3 linked regions of the Drosophila melanogaster genome follow. The protein of the gene in region 2 interacts with the protein of the main gene of each other region in a pairwise test. Each region holds a gene or a part of one and is shown on either strand. Other genes may lie near its edges.

What was found.
Region 1: the proteins of CG42288 (region 2) and CG43054 interact in a two-hybrid assay, tested with the Drosophila melanogaster proteins (one large-scale study listed by BioGRID).
Region 3: the proteins of CG42288 (region 2) and CG13012 interact in a two-hybrid assay, tested with the Drosophila melanogaster proteins (one large-scale study listed by BioGRID).

What each region holds. Positions count from the first base shown.
Region 1 is NT_033779.5:17,624,644-17,628,889, reverse strand, and holds CG43054 (uncharacterized protein), read right to left. Parts: upstream 1,032-4,246; 5' UTR 990-1,031; coding exon 579-989; 3' UTR 501-578; downstream 1-500. Other genes in the region: CG15147 (uncharacterized protein), read left to right, coding at 2,672-3,112.
Region 2 is NT_033778.4:14,087,431-14,093,540, reverse strand, and holds CG42288 (uncharacterized protein), read right to left. Parts: upstream 2,511-6,110; 5' UTR 2,433-2,510; coding exon 2,166-2,432; intron 2,094-2,165; coding exon 1,970-2,093; intron 1,906-1,969; coding exon 1,814-1,905; 3' UTR 1,727-1,813; downstream 1-1,726. Other genes in the region: CG42287 (uncharacterized protein), read right to left, coding at 2,606-2,685, 2,749-2,884, 2,944-3,165; prosap, read left to right, coding at 1,381-1,548.
Region 3 is NC_004354.4:16,673,754-16,679,918, forward strand, and holds the start of CG13012 (uncharacterized protein), read right to left. Parts: upstream 3,001-6,165; 5' UTR 2,418-3,000; exon of another isoform or gene 2,383-2,417; intron 1-2,382. Other genes in the region: CG13010 (uncharacterized protein), read right to left, coding at 4,686-5,090; sing (singles bar), read left to right, coding at 5,562-5,873, 6,017-6,157.

The DNA of each region.
Region 1 (4,246 bases), on a different chromosome or scaffold from region 2:
CACTTGCCACACCGCCCTAGTTCAATTCCCGCCCCCTTCTACGCCCAATCTTTTTGCCGCTGGCATGCAAAGCGTTTTTTAATCCCCGGCAACTTCTGGCTGCCCGAACAAACGCATTGGCCAATTTGTGGCAAGCTGGAAAAAAGCAGGGGCCAAAGAAAATCCCAGCCGAAAATGAATAAGTAAAGCTGAAGGTTGAAGGCCATGCCACAGCCCTGTGGCAATTGCAGGAGTTGCACCACCACGAGCATTGACAAATGGGGCGAGGCCACTGGCCAGATTACTCGGCCATCTATAAGTTCAGCTGACGAGCGGAAAGTTGCTCACTTTGGGCGTCCTGGCCAAAGGGGCAGCAATTATCATAATGAGTGTGACAGCTGAAAATATAAGAAATTTATCGATGACTTGCCAGGTAAATTAATCACAATAAAGGAAATATTTAATGAATTCTAGTCAGAAGAAATTACATTTTGATTTAAAAAAGAAAAAACATATTTCTTGCATATAACTAGACTTCATATATAATTATAATTATAATTTTTATATACATATATATAGAAAATTCAGTTAACACAACTTCAAAGTAGATTTGATTTTAAACAAGTACAGCAATTTGTTCCTTTCTTTGGGTGATCAATTTGGCTGGCCTTGTGGATTGGTTGGGCTTTTGGTTTTTCAGCTTCACAAATGTCGAAATCGAAACGCTTTGGCACTTTGGCGGTCTTTACCTTTGTTATCACACACTGAAATGCGAAACAAAATGCAAATAGTATGACTATTATGCAGCCGATACACACAAGAATTATGGGGACTTTCCACAACATTTCTTCTTCTACAACATTTCTGGACTTCAGGTTTTTCTTTATGAAACTATAGCACTCATCTGCGCTCATCAGGCCAATTTCGTATTTACGCTTAGCTTTGACTGTTTGAAGATTGGGAAAAAACTTTAAGCGACTTTCCTCGCATATATTATTGAACCAATTCATTTCGTCTCAGTATTTTTAGAAGTACAAAAATAAATTTGATTTCCAATGTCGATGAATTTATCAGTGACAATTGGTGCTTTGTTATTTTTTTTTTTATTTATCTGAGTGGTAATAGCTTTGACTTAACTGATGCTGAATCCATAAAAACATGCATACATACTAATATGCACCCAATCTTAATCCTTTTAATAGTAAGCCTTTTTTTAATATAATACATACCAATATGCATCCAATCTTAATCTTTTTTATACTAAGCCTTTTTTATGTAATACCATTTGACCCCTTTAGAAATAGAATTCGAGTAAGCTCCCATAAATCTTGAGTTTTAAATTTCTTGACATTCACTAAGCCCAAAATTGAAAGGCGAAGGCAAATGTTTGCGATAAACTACCTGAGCAACTTAAAGCGAAAGTCGAGGGCATTCCCATGACTATTTGTTGGGTATTTTGCCAACACAAACTAAGTATGTTGATCCAATCAGAGGGAGCAGAAGAGCCGTATCCAAGACCCCAAACCCCAAGACATGGTGAATATATTTTCCCAGGGATTTGCGGCGGGATTCGAATTTGGATTCAAGTCGTAGTCGTCGTGTTCGTCGTCTGTCAACTGTCATCGGCTGTGGGTCGGTGGCTCACGTTCCGACCTCTAACCCTTGGTTATTATCATGTGGCCGGGACTTACATTTATTTATTTCCATATTATTCGAGAAGCAGCGGCGCTGCTCTACTTTCAATAACTGTGAATAAGACCGAATGAATGAACTGGCTAACCTTGCCGCTGGCTCGACACTCGGTGGCTGTGGCTCAGTGGGTGGTGCTGGGAAATGAGGCGCTCGACTTTTCCTACGCTGCTTTGTGTTCGGTTTATTAAAATATACATTTTCCTTTTTTCATTTGGCTTCCTTTTTGTGCGCTGTATTCTATTTGGCCGTGCCTGTGCGTTTGGCATGCTCTGCTCTTTACTCTTTAGCCTGGTAAATTTTGCAGAAAAAATCTTCTTTATTTTCTTTTTTTCACGTCGCCGCAGGTCAAAATGTCAGCAAAAACTGGACAATATACTAGACGTACAGTAATTACTAGAAAATTACGGATTTTTTGTCCACTTTTCAAATTAATTACTCATCACATTGCATTTGCCATAGAATGCACTTTCTCTTGAAACACATTCTCGCAAATTGCATGATACTCGTACATAGATGAATGCCCACTTTTTGTCATTCTGTATGAATATAGCTTTCACTTTTGATCGGAAATAACTCTTATGTACTTTGTATATCTCATTTCGTGTCTTGTTACCTCTATCTAAAGACCACTGTATAGCTCTGTTGGTTGATTTAATTTTTGTATTTATTTTAAGGCTTGCGGCTTTTGCATATTTCATGCGCATTTGCATGTTCTTTTTGCGAGCCTGCTTCGTCCTCGAAGATTTATTTGTCAGATACGCTCTTTTATTTGATTTATGAGGGCGCCCCATATCCTCCATCGGCCAGGTTATCTGGTCGCCGATAAGCTGGAGGCTTGAAGCTGCCCAGGAGAATTGTGTCAAACCTCTGAACCCCAGATTCAGCTCCTCGACCGGGATTGTCTCCCACATCCTGCCATGCCTGCTGCTCGCTGAAGTCCGTGGTCTGTGGTCCGCCCAAGATTTCCACCTGTTTACCTGTGTCCATCTGCCTCCCAGAGATGCCCGACAAAAGGCCACTGGATCCACTCCAGCCGGTGCTCTACATTGACCACTGCCGTTATCGTCAAACTTATCGCAAGCGAGCCCTGCACCTCCATTCTTCGCTGGCGGAGGCTCTGAGGGCCATTCAGCCAAGGGTTAAGCTCCAGCTAAGGATCAACGACAAAGGCCCGCCCGAAGATGGATCCTTTGAGGTTGCTATTGCTCCGCAACCAACCGATGATTCCACGGCCCGTCAAAGTGTATGGACTGGACTAAGGCGGATGCCCAGTGCATCGAAGGTTCCCCATGTGGACGACATTCTCACCCCAGTTTGTTTCGCCCTCAAACTGAGGGATCCGCACAAGGAATCACATCGGCGGATGCTAACCAATTTGCGGCACAACGAAGGCAGTCGACCAAGGACGAGGACTATAAAAAATGTGTTAAATAATACCTAGTAAATATTACAATAATAAACCAACACACTTGCAAGATCTTGAATTGTATTATTCATTTTAATTCAGCAAACAAAGCAGTCATAGCTTAAAATAGCCCTTTAAGCCCAAATCTAAAGTAAAATTAAAGTTAATGTAAAAGACAAAAGACCACCGAAAGGTCAGGCTTCATTATCCCGCTCATTTTTTGGTTAATCTGCAAAATCTGCAGCCAAGTGAATTTCGTTTCTAGGCAGGCACCAAAGATAACAATAAACCCCGAAACTAATGAAAAGACAAACTCTGCGCCGGAGGAAAATCCACTTGGCGGAACTAAAGTGTGATGTGTAACTGCGTACAGGCGGCAGTTATGGCAGCGCCAGAAGATGCAAATGAAAATTGCAGGAGGCACCGAAGGACCTTCGAACCCCACCCCCCACCCCCTTTGCACATTTCCTGCTCATTTTCGCCGGGGGAGTTGCCAGTTAAGATTTTCGCCTCGTTGCAGGGATCTTTGAAGGAGCGACAGGAGCTCAAGTTGAGTGCTGCATTTCGGCTTCATTGCATCTCGGTGAGCACACAGTGGGCGATAGAGGTCTGCTGTGAACGGATGGCAAGGGGAAAGGACATTAAAAGGTAGCAGGGGCGGTGCATTTCAAGGGAAAAAAGCACAATAAATCCCTACCCTTGTAGTAGTTGTATAATATTTTCGTTGCCAAAGTATTTCGCAGCCTGACGGATCGCCTTTGCCAGAGCGTCTGCTTTCGTGACTTAAGTTTTCAGCATACGCATTGTATGCACTCACACACACATACACATACACACTAGCAGCACACGCATACTCATTTAACTAGGAAGCACACACAGTCGCCGAAGGATACGCAGCTACAGTGGCATCAAAAATATGTGTGTCCATAGAAATGTACTAAGCGTACATTACTTATATATTTAAAAAACTCTTAAAAAAAACAAATTTATTTTTAAACAAAAATTATAATGTTCTCGAAAAGTTCAGCATTTTCGGAGGTCAGCATAGTGACCTTCATCCTAAATAGATGCACGCACGATGCGATAAAGTTAAGCAAACTTTCTACGAAACAAGGTTGTAATCGAATCGATGCAATTAGCTATTAGCTATTAACTTTGGTTAAAAATATG
Region 2 (6,110 bases):
AGTTTCTTACAAAAACTCAACGAGTAAAGTCTTCTTATTTGGGATTTTACAAGCACTTTTAAATGCTTTCCTTTTTTCCACCTTTTTCTAAAGCCTTTCATTTTGTCACAACCTTTGACTGCAAAACCTTTCATCTTTCAGACAGAGCACCCACAACTTTTATCCTCAATTAGGATTTATCATTTCCCGCAAGCGATTTCCATTTTACACTAGTTTTCCCCCATTTCCCGCCATCTCCGTCCCCCGCCCTTTCGAAATGCCAACTCTAACTAGTTGAATGCAATCAACACGCTCGCAATTAAATGCGACAAAGTGCAGACTTGCAGATGTGGTTGTTGCTGCAGTTGGTGGCTAACCCGTTCCGCCCACAGTTCCAGTTGCCTCGACATGTCCCGCTCCGCCCGCTTTTCCGCTCCATTTTCCGCCCCCCCCCCCCTTCCTCCTCCCCAACACAAAAGCGACAACTGTCAGCGGGTCTTTGGCACACATTTACATGCCTCCAATCCTCCACCCACCGTGTGGCACCTCCTCCTTTCCAGCTAGCGTGTGAATTTAATTTGTGCATAATTGCAATTGCAACTGCCATTGCAGTGCTGCAGCCATAAAATGTCAATATCAAATTGTAATCATCAACGAGAAATGTTTGCGGCAGCCCAAGTGTTTTCTTTTCACTCTGACAATTTGTTTTTCCTATTAGATAGGCCTGCAGACATGAAAAGGGGCTCGGAAAATCGGGCCAATTGCCGTCTGACTGATATCATCAAGTGCGTAGGAAAAGTGCAGTGGACAGTTTCGAAAAGTAAACCAATTTAAAAATTAAGTGCTGGGGAAACTATTTTATGTTGTTGTCTGGACTTGAGCAGGCTTTTAATGGATTGCAATTTGCATATGTGTACTAAATTTATGCGAAAATATTTAGTGCATATGAAAGTGGAGTGAAAATTAATAGCTTCATTGGGTAATGCATTATGATTCGGAAAGGAAATATTATACATTATAATATATTTTATTCTTATACCTCTAATTTGATTCATTTCAGAACCATCATGCGCCAGACTCAACGAACGCAGCACAGCGAAATGTCCAAACAAAACGGATTCCAACAGCAGAAGGCCGTAAAAGAAAGCCAAATAGATTGGCAATAAAAAGTTAGATAAATTAACTTAGTAGCTCATCACGCCCAAAGGCAAATCACTTTGAAGTGCAACCAAATAAGGAAAGAGCAAATTAAGCGAATAGAACGGCTAGAAGGAGATCTCCCAGTGGAGCGGGAGTAGCTTCGTTTTTTTTTCGTGGACCGTGCGATAGAAAGCCGTCAAAATTACGACATACCACCCACCCACGCCCAAAGTCAAACAGAACCCGGCCAATACGGACGCCATGTCCGGGTCGGGTGCGTTTGACGATGAGCCGCCGCCGGAGCCGCGGGACGGATGGCTACTGGTGCGCATCCATGTGCCGGAGCTGAATGTCTACAAGTGTCTGCAGTTCCCATCGGAGCGGCTCGTTTGGGATGTCAAGCAGCAGGTGCTCGCCTCGCTGCCGAAGGTAAGTCGGTCACTGTCATTACCACTGCGATACCCATTGTCTTTTCGGTGTATATAGAGCACGGGCATGTCTCATGTGCGCTAAATACTCACTAAACGGGGAGAAATATGTACATCCGAAATGGGGTCTACTTCACATAGTATGGAGTTCTGCTCAAGCGAAATTATGATCTGTATTTCTGTATCCTACATGCATTATTTTATTAGGCACATCAAATGCTTGCTCAACATACTAAAATTTGTAAATATCATTATTATTACTATTATTACACATAACCGGTTTCCAGTTCATCTTCGTAGGCGAAGAGCAGTTCTATGTAGTAGGACCAAACCACCAGCCAGGCATACACTAAAAGTACTATAAAACATTAAATAGTATACTTAATTTAGGCTTTAGATTCATGATTATTGGGGGTACCCACACATTGTGATGACAGTCAGGATGATGATGATGGTATTAAAGCTGTAAACGGTCAGGGCAAAAATGTGCACAATTATCCAAATGGGTGTGAAAACCAAAAATGGCAGGAAGAGCATCTCGTTGTTCTACAAAATTATGAGGTATTATAAGCATATGCTAAATATATTGGGAATATTTATAATAGACAGATCACATACATTGTGCACTCCCAGGCAGAGCATGGCCGAAACTATGATGCCGAAGAAGGAGAAGACCATGGTGGCCTTGAGGGCCGCCGGTGCTGGGATAAGGGACCTCTGATACTCGTTCGGAAAGATGCACTCCATCATGAAGCCGGTGCCGATGGTGATGTAAATGAACCAGGTTAGAAAAATGCATCCGAAGAGCAGCACACCGAAACGCAGGGAATAGCAGTAGCAGCACTTGGTAAAGATCTGCTTCAGATATTTGCAGCGACAGGCCATGATTGATCCGATCCTCAGCCGCACTGCAAGTTTTAAACAACAATTTTCAAAGCTTTCCTGAGAAACTGAAATTTGTTGAAAATCTAGTTTGTATAAAAGGGACACACTGAAAGAAGTAAACTAGATCAGTTAAATTCAGTTACACGTTAGTTTAACATTTATTTTACAACTCATCAAATTGAATCGTCAGAATCCACACTGCTCAAATATCGATAAAAAGCCAGCACTATTAGCAGGGAATAAACGAGACCAACTAGGGGGTATGAAAATCAAGACATTATTCAGACATATTCAATCAAAAATGGCCAACACCCACCTATGATGAACACCTGAACGGCCAATATAATCGGCGAAGGTTTCGACCTGGCCAACTGGACAACGGCCATTAGGAAATATAGGGATAGTATAATTGCATAGATGATAATCCACATAAGGACAAAGCCTCGCTTGCTCTGCATTTGTAATGTTATAAAGCATTAGAATCTTGAAAGAAACCAATTGAATCTCTTACCTTCGAAGCAGCATACACAAGGAGTATAGAGCTCAGAGTTCCAATTGTCAGGATCGGAGACATGATGACGGGTGCCCACCATTTGTGGGACACTTGCTTGATGAAAATGGTGTCATCCGAATGCGTTATCAGCTCCCCAACGTGAAATGTTATGAAGATGGCTCCAATGATTATGCAACCCACGTTGAGGGGCAGGAAAAAGCAGCACTTTTTAAAAAACATGCCGCTACAGAAATTTGTGATTTTTTTTTACATGAATTTCGCCCAAAACAACAGAATGCAAGGAACAGTTGATCGTAAAATTTTTGCGTTAGTTATTTAATATTTGAATCAATAATAATCTTGCACTAAGATTAAGGATCAAAATCCTTAAAAGACACAAATTCACAATCAAACTAAATGCATTTTGCATTGAATCACACAAAAAACCAATTACTGTGGAATCGCAATGCAATTTTTCAACAGATGTTGTTGATTGAAATTTTTATGCAGCCAAAGGCTGACACGTGCCCTTACAACATAAAAACGACCACGCCCCCTCAGCCGCCCTCGAATGGCTGCCAAATGGCCCTCGTGAAGTTTCAATTTTTGAAGTTCAATGCAATTTATCGGCAACTGCAATGTCTGAGGTCGTGCGCCCAGTTGGAAATCGTGACGCTGCAGATCCAAAGATATTTGACAATTGAATGGCAGTCTGTCAAGGGGAGGCAAAAAAAAAGTGTCAGTCACAAGGAAGGTTAGTTTTTCAATGGCCAACAGATTAGGAGAACTACGTGTTAACATATTCACATATGTTACTTAGTTTGAAATATGAGTAAATGCGTGGTCAGGGGGTCAAGATCAGCGGTTATTTGCCCTTATAATGCCGTCAAATTACTCACCGAATGAAAGGCACTTCCCCGCTCCTTTGTGCTAATGAAAGCCAAACAATGGTCAATCAATTGTATACATTTAATCGCAATTTGTTGAGCAAATTGCTGTCGAAACATTGTCAAGCGTAAATGCAATGCGGGGGCCTCGCCCAATTCAATATTGAAACCGCAAAATTGCAAACGGAAACTCTGGGCGATACCCAAACTGAAACCGAACTGGATTTGAAATCACACTGGTATCGATTCGAATCGAACTGAACTGAACTGAACTGAAATGAACTTCGCTGAACCGAACACAATGACCTCCAGCTAATTGCATGGCCGGGTCTTTCGTGCCGGTTCCGTTTTCGTTTCGGCCAATTCAAATTCAGCGCGTCAAGTGACAGACATTGCCTTGTTTTTGGCTTTTTGGCAAGGGGGCGTGGCCGCTCTGGTTCCACTGTCAGCGTGCAGCTTAGTAAATTATGTTGTAAATTCTGATCGGTTGTGTGGGAACCGAAAGCTGAGCGTGCTTTAACCATTTTTTGGGGATATTTGTTTGTGGGGAATAATATCCTGAGTTACATAAGCATGCAATGTGAATTGCGATTAAAGTTTATGGAAGCATGTTGTTTGTGTTTTGTTGAAAGATAGCAAGGGCTAATTAAGTTGTTCATGCTGCAAACTAAAGAATATGACATCATTGGAATAACTTAATCCATTGGTTTGGGAAATCTAGCATATTCCCTTTACTTATTCCACCTGAAAGCATAGCAGGTTACCAACAAATTTCCTGCTTCCCCACAGTCGTATATCAATCAGTAAACTGGCCGCATATCTTATCGCATGGTTTCTCTTGCGACCGAACATAGAACCCTATATAGACCGTCATAAAGAATACAATTCATGCTATCATCGCACAAATATTTGCACTCCAATTGAGGCCTCTTTCTTTGCACTTTTTGCTCAACCATTTGTGAGCCTTCGATAACTGAGGAATGGTTGAGTAAATCCCGAAGAGACAAACGAGAGTGCCTGTATAATTTCCCATTTTATCGGTCGTCGTCGCCCATTATCGGGACACCTGACGATGGCGTCGGGTTCCATAAATGTATTATTGGGTCTGGTGAGGAATTCGCTTTCAATGACCGATCCGCGCTGCTCATGCCAAGCTTCAGTGAAACTTCACACCATCAATCAGTCAATCTGTCTGTCTGTCAGTCAGTCAGTCGGACAATCAGTCACTTCGCCAATATGTCGCTGCTACAGTTCGCCGTTGAGTGTTAGCCCCACTGGCATCTCAACTTCCGCCTGCTAATCAAAACGAAATTAAAGCTTCTCTGATCTGTATTCAATGGATTTTTCTTCAATTTCTGGGTGGGCGTTACTTACCGGTTTGTTGTGTCTAAGTCGTTTTGCGTGTAATATTCAACGGGCTTTGTTTGGCCCGAAGTTCAGGTTGGTTAATAAACAACTTTGGCTCGTGGCGATAAGAAACCAGTAAGGAAAGCTTAGCCGCATATGGACTACTCGGTGGCTCATTTTATTTTTTTTTGTGGTCTAAGGTGGCAATGGAAAATACGTGTAGGGAACGTTTTGAATGGAATTACGATAAGTGAGCCACATGTAATGGTAATTGAAAATATTCCAACTGTTCTATAATTATCTTGAGTTTAAGAAGCACATCCATAAATACTTGTTTAATATACTTCAAAGTACTTCAAATACCTACCTTAAGTATAGGGCGTAGTCAAGACTTACACAAAGTTTATCTTAAATTTTATTTGCAAAACTTTGGCATAACTAAAACTTTAAGCAAGTTGGATAAAGTGCGCGCAAATTCGCACAATAAATCAGCCAAGAACTGAGCTCGTTTCAAAGGGGATTTCAAATCGAAGGCTCTTAACTTTCCAAAAAGGAAGGATAGGCAGTCAGCCAGACAGACAGGATAACCCGAAGTGCACGAGGCAAAAAAAAAAAAGGCGAAAGAATTGCTTTTAGCCAAGTGAGCGAATGTGGTCAGCGAAAGCGTATATGTGTGCTCACTAAAAGAGATATGTTCGCTTTAAAGCTCGTTACTTACGAACGCCGCAACTTTAATCAATTGAAGGCATTTTCCGACAGAATAAACGCCATAAATCTGGCAGTAAAACTGCCCAGAAAGCCACAATGGCAATTAGGTTAGGTTTCGGTTAATGGGAAATGGCTCAATTAGGCCAAGTTAATGTGTAGTTTCAAATCACAAGTGGCATGGAGTTGTCTTTCGTTGGAATTACTGTGAAAACTTTTGGCGCTGCCTCCAAAAATTTTCCAAAT
Region 3 (6,165 bases), on a different chromosome or scaffold from region 2:
GAATTGAAATGGAAATCGTTGTCAAATGAAAGCGATGCCAGCGTCTCAATGCCAGCGATCAAGTCAGTTACGAATAGAACGGCATTTGCAGTAGATCAAGGTGGGGGAAGATCGCCATCGCCATCGCCATCGTCATCGTCATCAGCTATTGTCATCGCCGAACCCCTGGGAACATGATTTATCGATTTGACGATACCAGATGGGCTGATAAGCAGCATAGCGAACACGATCCTCAGGAATTCGAGGTACTTGGGTACATGGCGCCTCACAGAGAAAACTAAAACCCATGTACAAGTATCTAAGGGCGCATACAGCAGCGGCCAAGATGGTAGGATTATCAAGCAATTGAAAGGCCCAAGCTTCTGGTATAATTTAAGAAAACTAAACGACTTCCTTGAACGCATCTAGTACACTTGTCTGCCCAAGTGATCATATCATAAATCATAATATCATATCATATCATTATATCATAAATCTAACAAAGAAGTAATTACCTTGATATGCCCAGATCAGCTTAGATCACATTAAAATTTGCAGTGTACCCATTAAAAAAAGGGTTTTAATTTTTCTTCAAAATTTCTCGTTTACTTGCGTCCGCAATTGTTTGTGTGTCAGCACACCTCCGGCCACGCCCACTTCGACAACAAGTGGGCGACAAGTATTTTTTTTTCGCAATGACGCAGATGGACAGACTGGGCAAACTGTTTTTTGTTTTTCTCCCACAAATTGACAATCCAAAGTGGCTACCATTCCGGAATTTTCCGTTCCGGATGGGAAGACTCTTCCGCTTTGGATCCATCAGTGGGGGTGAATCATCGATACTCGATAATCGATTCTCGATTGTTTCGATAAGCTAGAAGATTTGGTTTTCAGCAACTCGTTGGCTTATAAAACCAAAGAGAGGCATGCTATCAGTATATAGATTCCATATCTATAACTATTCCCTGAAAACATAAATAACAAATTGTTCGTATCAATCTAGTTAGTTTTCAATTAAAGAGCAATGACTAAGATTATTTGTGCGGCACGAACATATATTTAGTAATTAAACTTATGAGTACGCTGCTATGTTTTTCTTTAAAGATAAGATTTCGGCGAAATATTATGGATCGCCGGTCATATCAGGTCATCTAATCAGGAACTCAAACTCAAAGGATATCTACTCGGAACTGCAGTGTCACTCCGAAACTGAGGTTTTCCCACCTGAGACAGCATTGCAGAAGATATAGTACATTACCATGTGATTTTGGACTTTCCAATCGAGGGGCACTTGTTCACATTCTGTCAACTCATCTCCGGTGCGGGGCACGCAGCGCGTAGTACACTGGGAGAAACTGGTTGACATTTCAAAATTCAATTTCGATAATGCGTCATTTATGAGTGTGACATTCTTTCGCATTCTTTCCTACCTGAGCTTACCTTTATTTTATTTAACAACTTATATATATATATATATATATATATATATACATATATATTGGGGCTCTATTTGTACTTAAGAAAAGGATTTCAAATTAAAGTGGGCCACAGCGATATGGGTTCGAGTGTACTTGTTTTGCAAACGTTTAAAAGTCGCCAAGTTCCTCCACCTCTACGTTTTTAGACTTCCAAAAATCATGACAATAGCAAATGATAGTGACGTCGACGGGGCGGCAAACAAATTGCTATAAATAAATGGCAATCGCAGGTTATACCACTTCTAGACCAGGATCGCATCGGATCGGTTAACTATAGACATGATGGGTATATATAATAGTCAATCAGTGTGCCAGACTGGCCAGGCACTTGGCCATTATCTTCTCACTTGGCTCGATGTTGGCCCAGATAAAGCCTTTTTGTTTACGGCCCTTCATTGCGACTTTCGCCCCAAGAAATCGCCCCTTCTGCATCTTGTTGTTGCCCCATGAATTGGCGTTTCAGCAAAAAAAAAAAAACAAAAAAAGGAAAAAAAATATAAAAATATACTCTATTTTAAACATTTGTGCTGCTCGCACTTGTTGTTGGTCTATCAACACCCACCACTCACAATTGTGCTTCGTACTATTAAACTTTAAGTACGAAGCACAAAATATTTGCTATTTGCCAGCAAGTTGTTGCCAATTGACAGCTGCATTTGGCTGTTAATGGGGAAAAGCGATTTGTTTAGCCAGCCAACAACAGTTTTTAGACTGTTTAAGTTCTGGGAAAAGCACATTCATTCACTTTCAAAACGATCGTAACAACGCTCTTTCTAACTCACTTTATAAATTTTTGAAATATTTAGCTCTTTTCCATACATCTAATGTATATTATTTTTACTAATTTTAATATTTACGAATTTTGTTATGTTGTTTTCTTATGCTGAAATTATATTGTTGATATTTTTGAGGAATTTGTACATACATATTGCTTTTGGCCACGTTTCCCATCATAAATACCGTTTTCTCAGATGATTTCAATTGTTTCCTGTTCTGGGTTTTCTCTCGCCAGATTGGATCTCTCGAAATGTGCTATATAGTATATAGAATGTCCGATATAATGTCCGATTTGGCGGCTGGAAATAACAGGCCGTTGACTGATGTTTGCGATTTATTTAATTAAATGCCCCGTTGTTGTGTACGTTGTTATTTTGTTTTTTTATTTTTTTTTTAAGGCGATTTGGAGATTGTCAGGCGACCGAAATAAACAAATACAAAACTGCAAATGAAAATGAAAATGCAACTGAACGCGAGAATTTGTCGCACTTTTAATTTGACTGAACAACAATCAGCGCACTGTGTCGACTTTTTGCCTTTTTTTTTGTTTCTTTTTTTTTTTGTGTAAGTCTTGCCGCAATTAATGGCACAACCATTAACAATTTACAAGTGGTTTTTTTTCGATTTTTCAGTGCGAATTATTTTTACATTCCTTGTTTGTTCGCTTCTTCACGTAAACATTTGAAAATTTAACATTTTCTTTGTTATATTGTTTCGTTGCTGCGACGTCAGACGCATTTGCGCCAATGAGAGAAAGGCAGACAGAGCTTTCCCATTTTCCGCCCGATCGGCGGATATTATGTATATATATATACATAACTTTAACCACAGATGCCTATGTGTAAATTCTATAGTCTTGACTTTTAAAATAAACAAGAGAGCATAAAGAGATCTTTGTGTGTTCGTAGTTGTTGTTTTTTCGGAAAAGCGAAAAATCGCAAAATGCCTCTCATCCCACATTTCCAATTGGATGAAGTTGGACGGGCGATTGATTATTGACCAACTAACTGCAATGATTTATGCACGTGCAAAATTCGTGACGAAATTGGCAAATTCCTAATTGCAGATTGCAAAATTTCCGCTTTATGGAGTGTGGAGGGGGGTGGAGGGGGTTTTGCAACGATTTATGCAAATTCTGAACGGTTTCACTTGTTACAGCATTTCTGGGGCGTCATCGTTATAGCTACCTTTTATTCGAAACATCACTTAAAAAAATTTTAAAATTAATAAGTATATAAGAATTGCATACATTTAAAGAATTGCATTACAATCCATTTTTACATATTCAAGAAGAATTATAAATAAGCGCTTGAATATATTAATACAAAAGTAGATGAATGTATACAGGAAAATATTTTTTTAAATATTTTTAAACTATACTTGTTTATTCTACAAAAATAACTCAAATACCTTCGTTTCTAATGCAATCTTAGATTTTAAACCTTCATATTTATTGTCTTATTTGTAATCTTATTATTATTGGTATATTTTTACATAAATTGCCTTTCGCTTAGCCCCAATTTCTCGCAGTGTAGCCGCCCATTGACGCAAGCGACAGCGCACAACAATAGCGGTAGGAGCAACAATAACAACTGCCGGCAGCAACAATTACTTGTGATAACAGCCACATTATTTTATTGTCAAAAAGCATCCACCCCCGCACGAGCACCACACCCCCCACCCCCCCACACACAACAAACAATCCCACAAACATGTACATCTATATAGATATATGAATGTATATAATCCCACCGATCGGGCTTAGCCACATAAATTGCCGCTGCGACTGATAAATTACACTAATCGCTGGCGGTGCCGACGTTTGAGCTTTGTTTGCATCCCGCTCCTGTCCCTGCCCCTGCCACGCCCCCTTCCCGGACACAACACGATCTTCTAGAGCGCCAACCGATCGGCTAAAGAAATCGGAGAACAGAGCGGGCACAAAGAAAGCTCAGGGGCGTAGAGATCGACGGGGAAAGTGAAAGTACATATGTACATACATACATATAACTTGGCCATAACTTCCCTGATTTATTGACCAATTTAGTTGGCAACTTTATTTCAGTTTAGATTATTCATGTTTTGCAGGATTCCCCCAGTTTCATTATCTCATCTAAAAATTTATCTATTTTAAATGTACTGACAGTTTGACGAGATCTGGAAGCCTAACACGAATTTTTGAAAACTATTATTAAAATAAATTATTGTAGTTGAGAGAACGTTTTAAAATGCTATAATAGGTTGCCATAATTACCATATAGAAACTTAAGAACTTTTGGTGTTCCAAAGGTTCGAAATGGAACATTTTTATTTAACTAATATCTTGAAAGCGAAAAAAGCAAAAGATTTTTGATAAGTGTATAGGGGACTACTGCAAGCCAAATTTCGATGACCATCAACTCCTATTGAATATATGCATTGCAATTCGCTGCAATCCCGATCCTTGGCAGTCTAGAGCGACTCAATGCTGGACTTCTTGTTCTTGCTCATGCCAAAGTATCCCCACCAGGAGCGGCGCGACCTCGCCTCGTCGGCTGGAGCAGCACTGGTGGCCATCGAGGCGGTGGCGTTGCGCACAGCTCCTCGGGAGGCGGTCGCCAGAGGTTGCTCCGCATTATCCTCATTGCTGCTGACACTGGACTCAGGAGGATTGGCAGCGGTGGTACTACGGCGACCGGCGGACTTGCCGGATTTAGCCGACTTCGCTGACTTCGCTGACTTGGCGGACTTGACGGTGTCCATGGAGACCTGGGTCACATTGGCCAGGCTGGGCAGTGGGGTGACGCCTCCATCGCGGGTGCGACGCTGCCGGCGATCGCCTCCACCGAAGAGCTTACTCAAATACGGCATGCACATCCTGGCAGTGGTTCACGTTCGCGTGAGCTCGAAATTTGGGGAATTATGCTTAACGTTTTTTTTTTTTGGAACGATTCGAATTGGCGACTAGAATTTGGATGGCATCGAAAATCAAACTGAACGTAGGATAGCAAACACTTGGGTAAATGGATCAAATTAAAAGGTGAAAAGGTTGATATCCAAGTTGTATCAATATTTTAACATATATATCATGTAGTTTCAGAGAAATTAAATCGGATATTTAAGGAAGATACCTTCCGCATAGACAAATCCTCGCCCATTGTGAATTGCTGTTCTAAATTTAGCTGGAGATTGGGGTGGATTTGTTGCCACGTCGCTGGAAATGCAAGGAAATGCACCACTTGGGGTCCATGTGTATCGGCAGCTATTTATAGAACCTGGTTGGCTGGCACTACGACAACATACAACAAAGCGGAGTCGCTGCATCGCCGGATCAGTTGCAATCAGACCATGGCCTCGTTTGGAGTTCGAGGAATGGGCCAGCCGCTGGGCATTCGGATATGCTGTTGTCGCGTCTGCACCTGCATCAATTTCGGGTTCGTTCTGTCGCGGATCGGCCTCCTGAAGCTGATGCAACTGGGCCTGGCCATGCTCTGCGAGGGACTGCTCATCCGCTACGGCGTACCATACGCCGATTCCATTGGCCAGGCGCTAACCAGCTTCCTGGCCACAACCGGCCACTGCTTCACCACCACTGGCATCCTGCTACTGTGCTACGCCTTCTCCGACAAATCCTACAGTCTCATTCGGCAGTCACTATTCGTAGGTTGACTTGGAGCGCTTTTCCAAGTGAAGAATAGATTCTCTACTAACTTGCTCGAACACAAAATTCAATTCAAATTGAAGGATGCATTTTAATTTTAATTTTTTCTGATCTAACGATATGGTGATTGCTCTTATTCCAGGAGACCTTGTTCAATGGCCTCGCCAGCTGCATGTACTTCAGCTCATCCAGTTACATGGGTTTCGCCTGCGTGGTATGGCTACATCCGCAGTTCCTGGTGCGACCCGGATTCTGGGCATATCCGGCCATGACAGCCTGCTATGTAAGTAC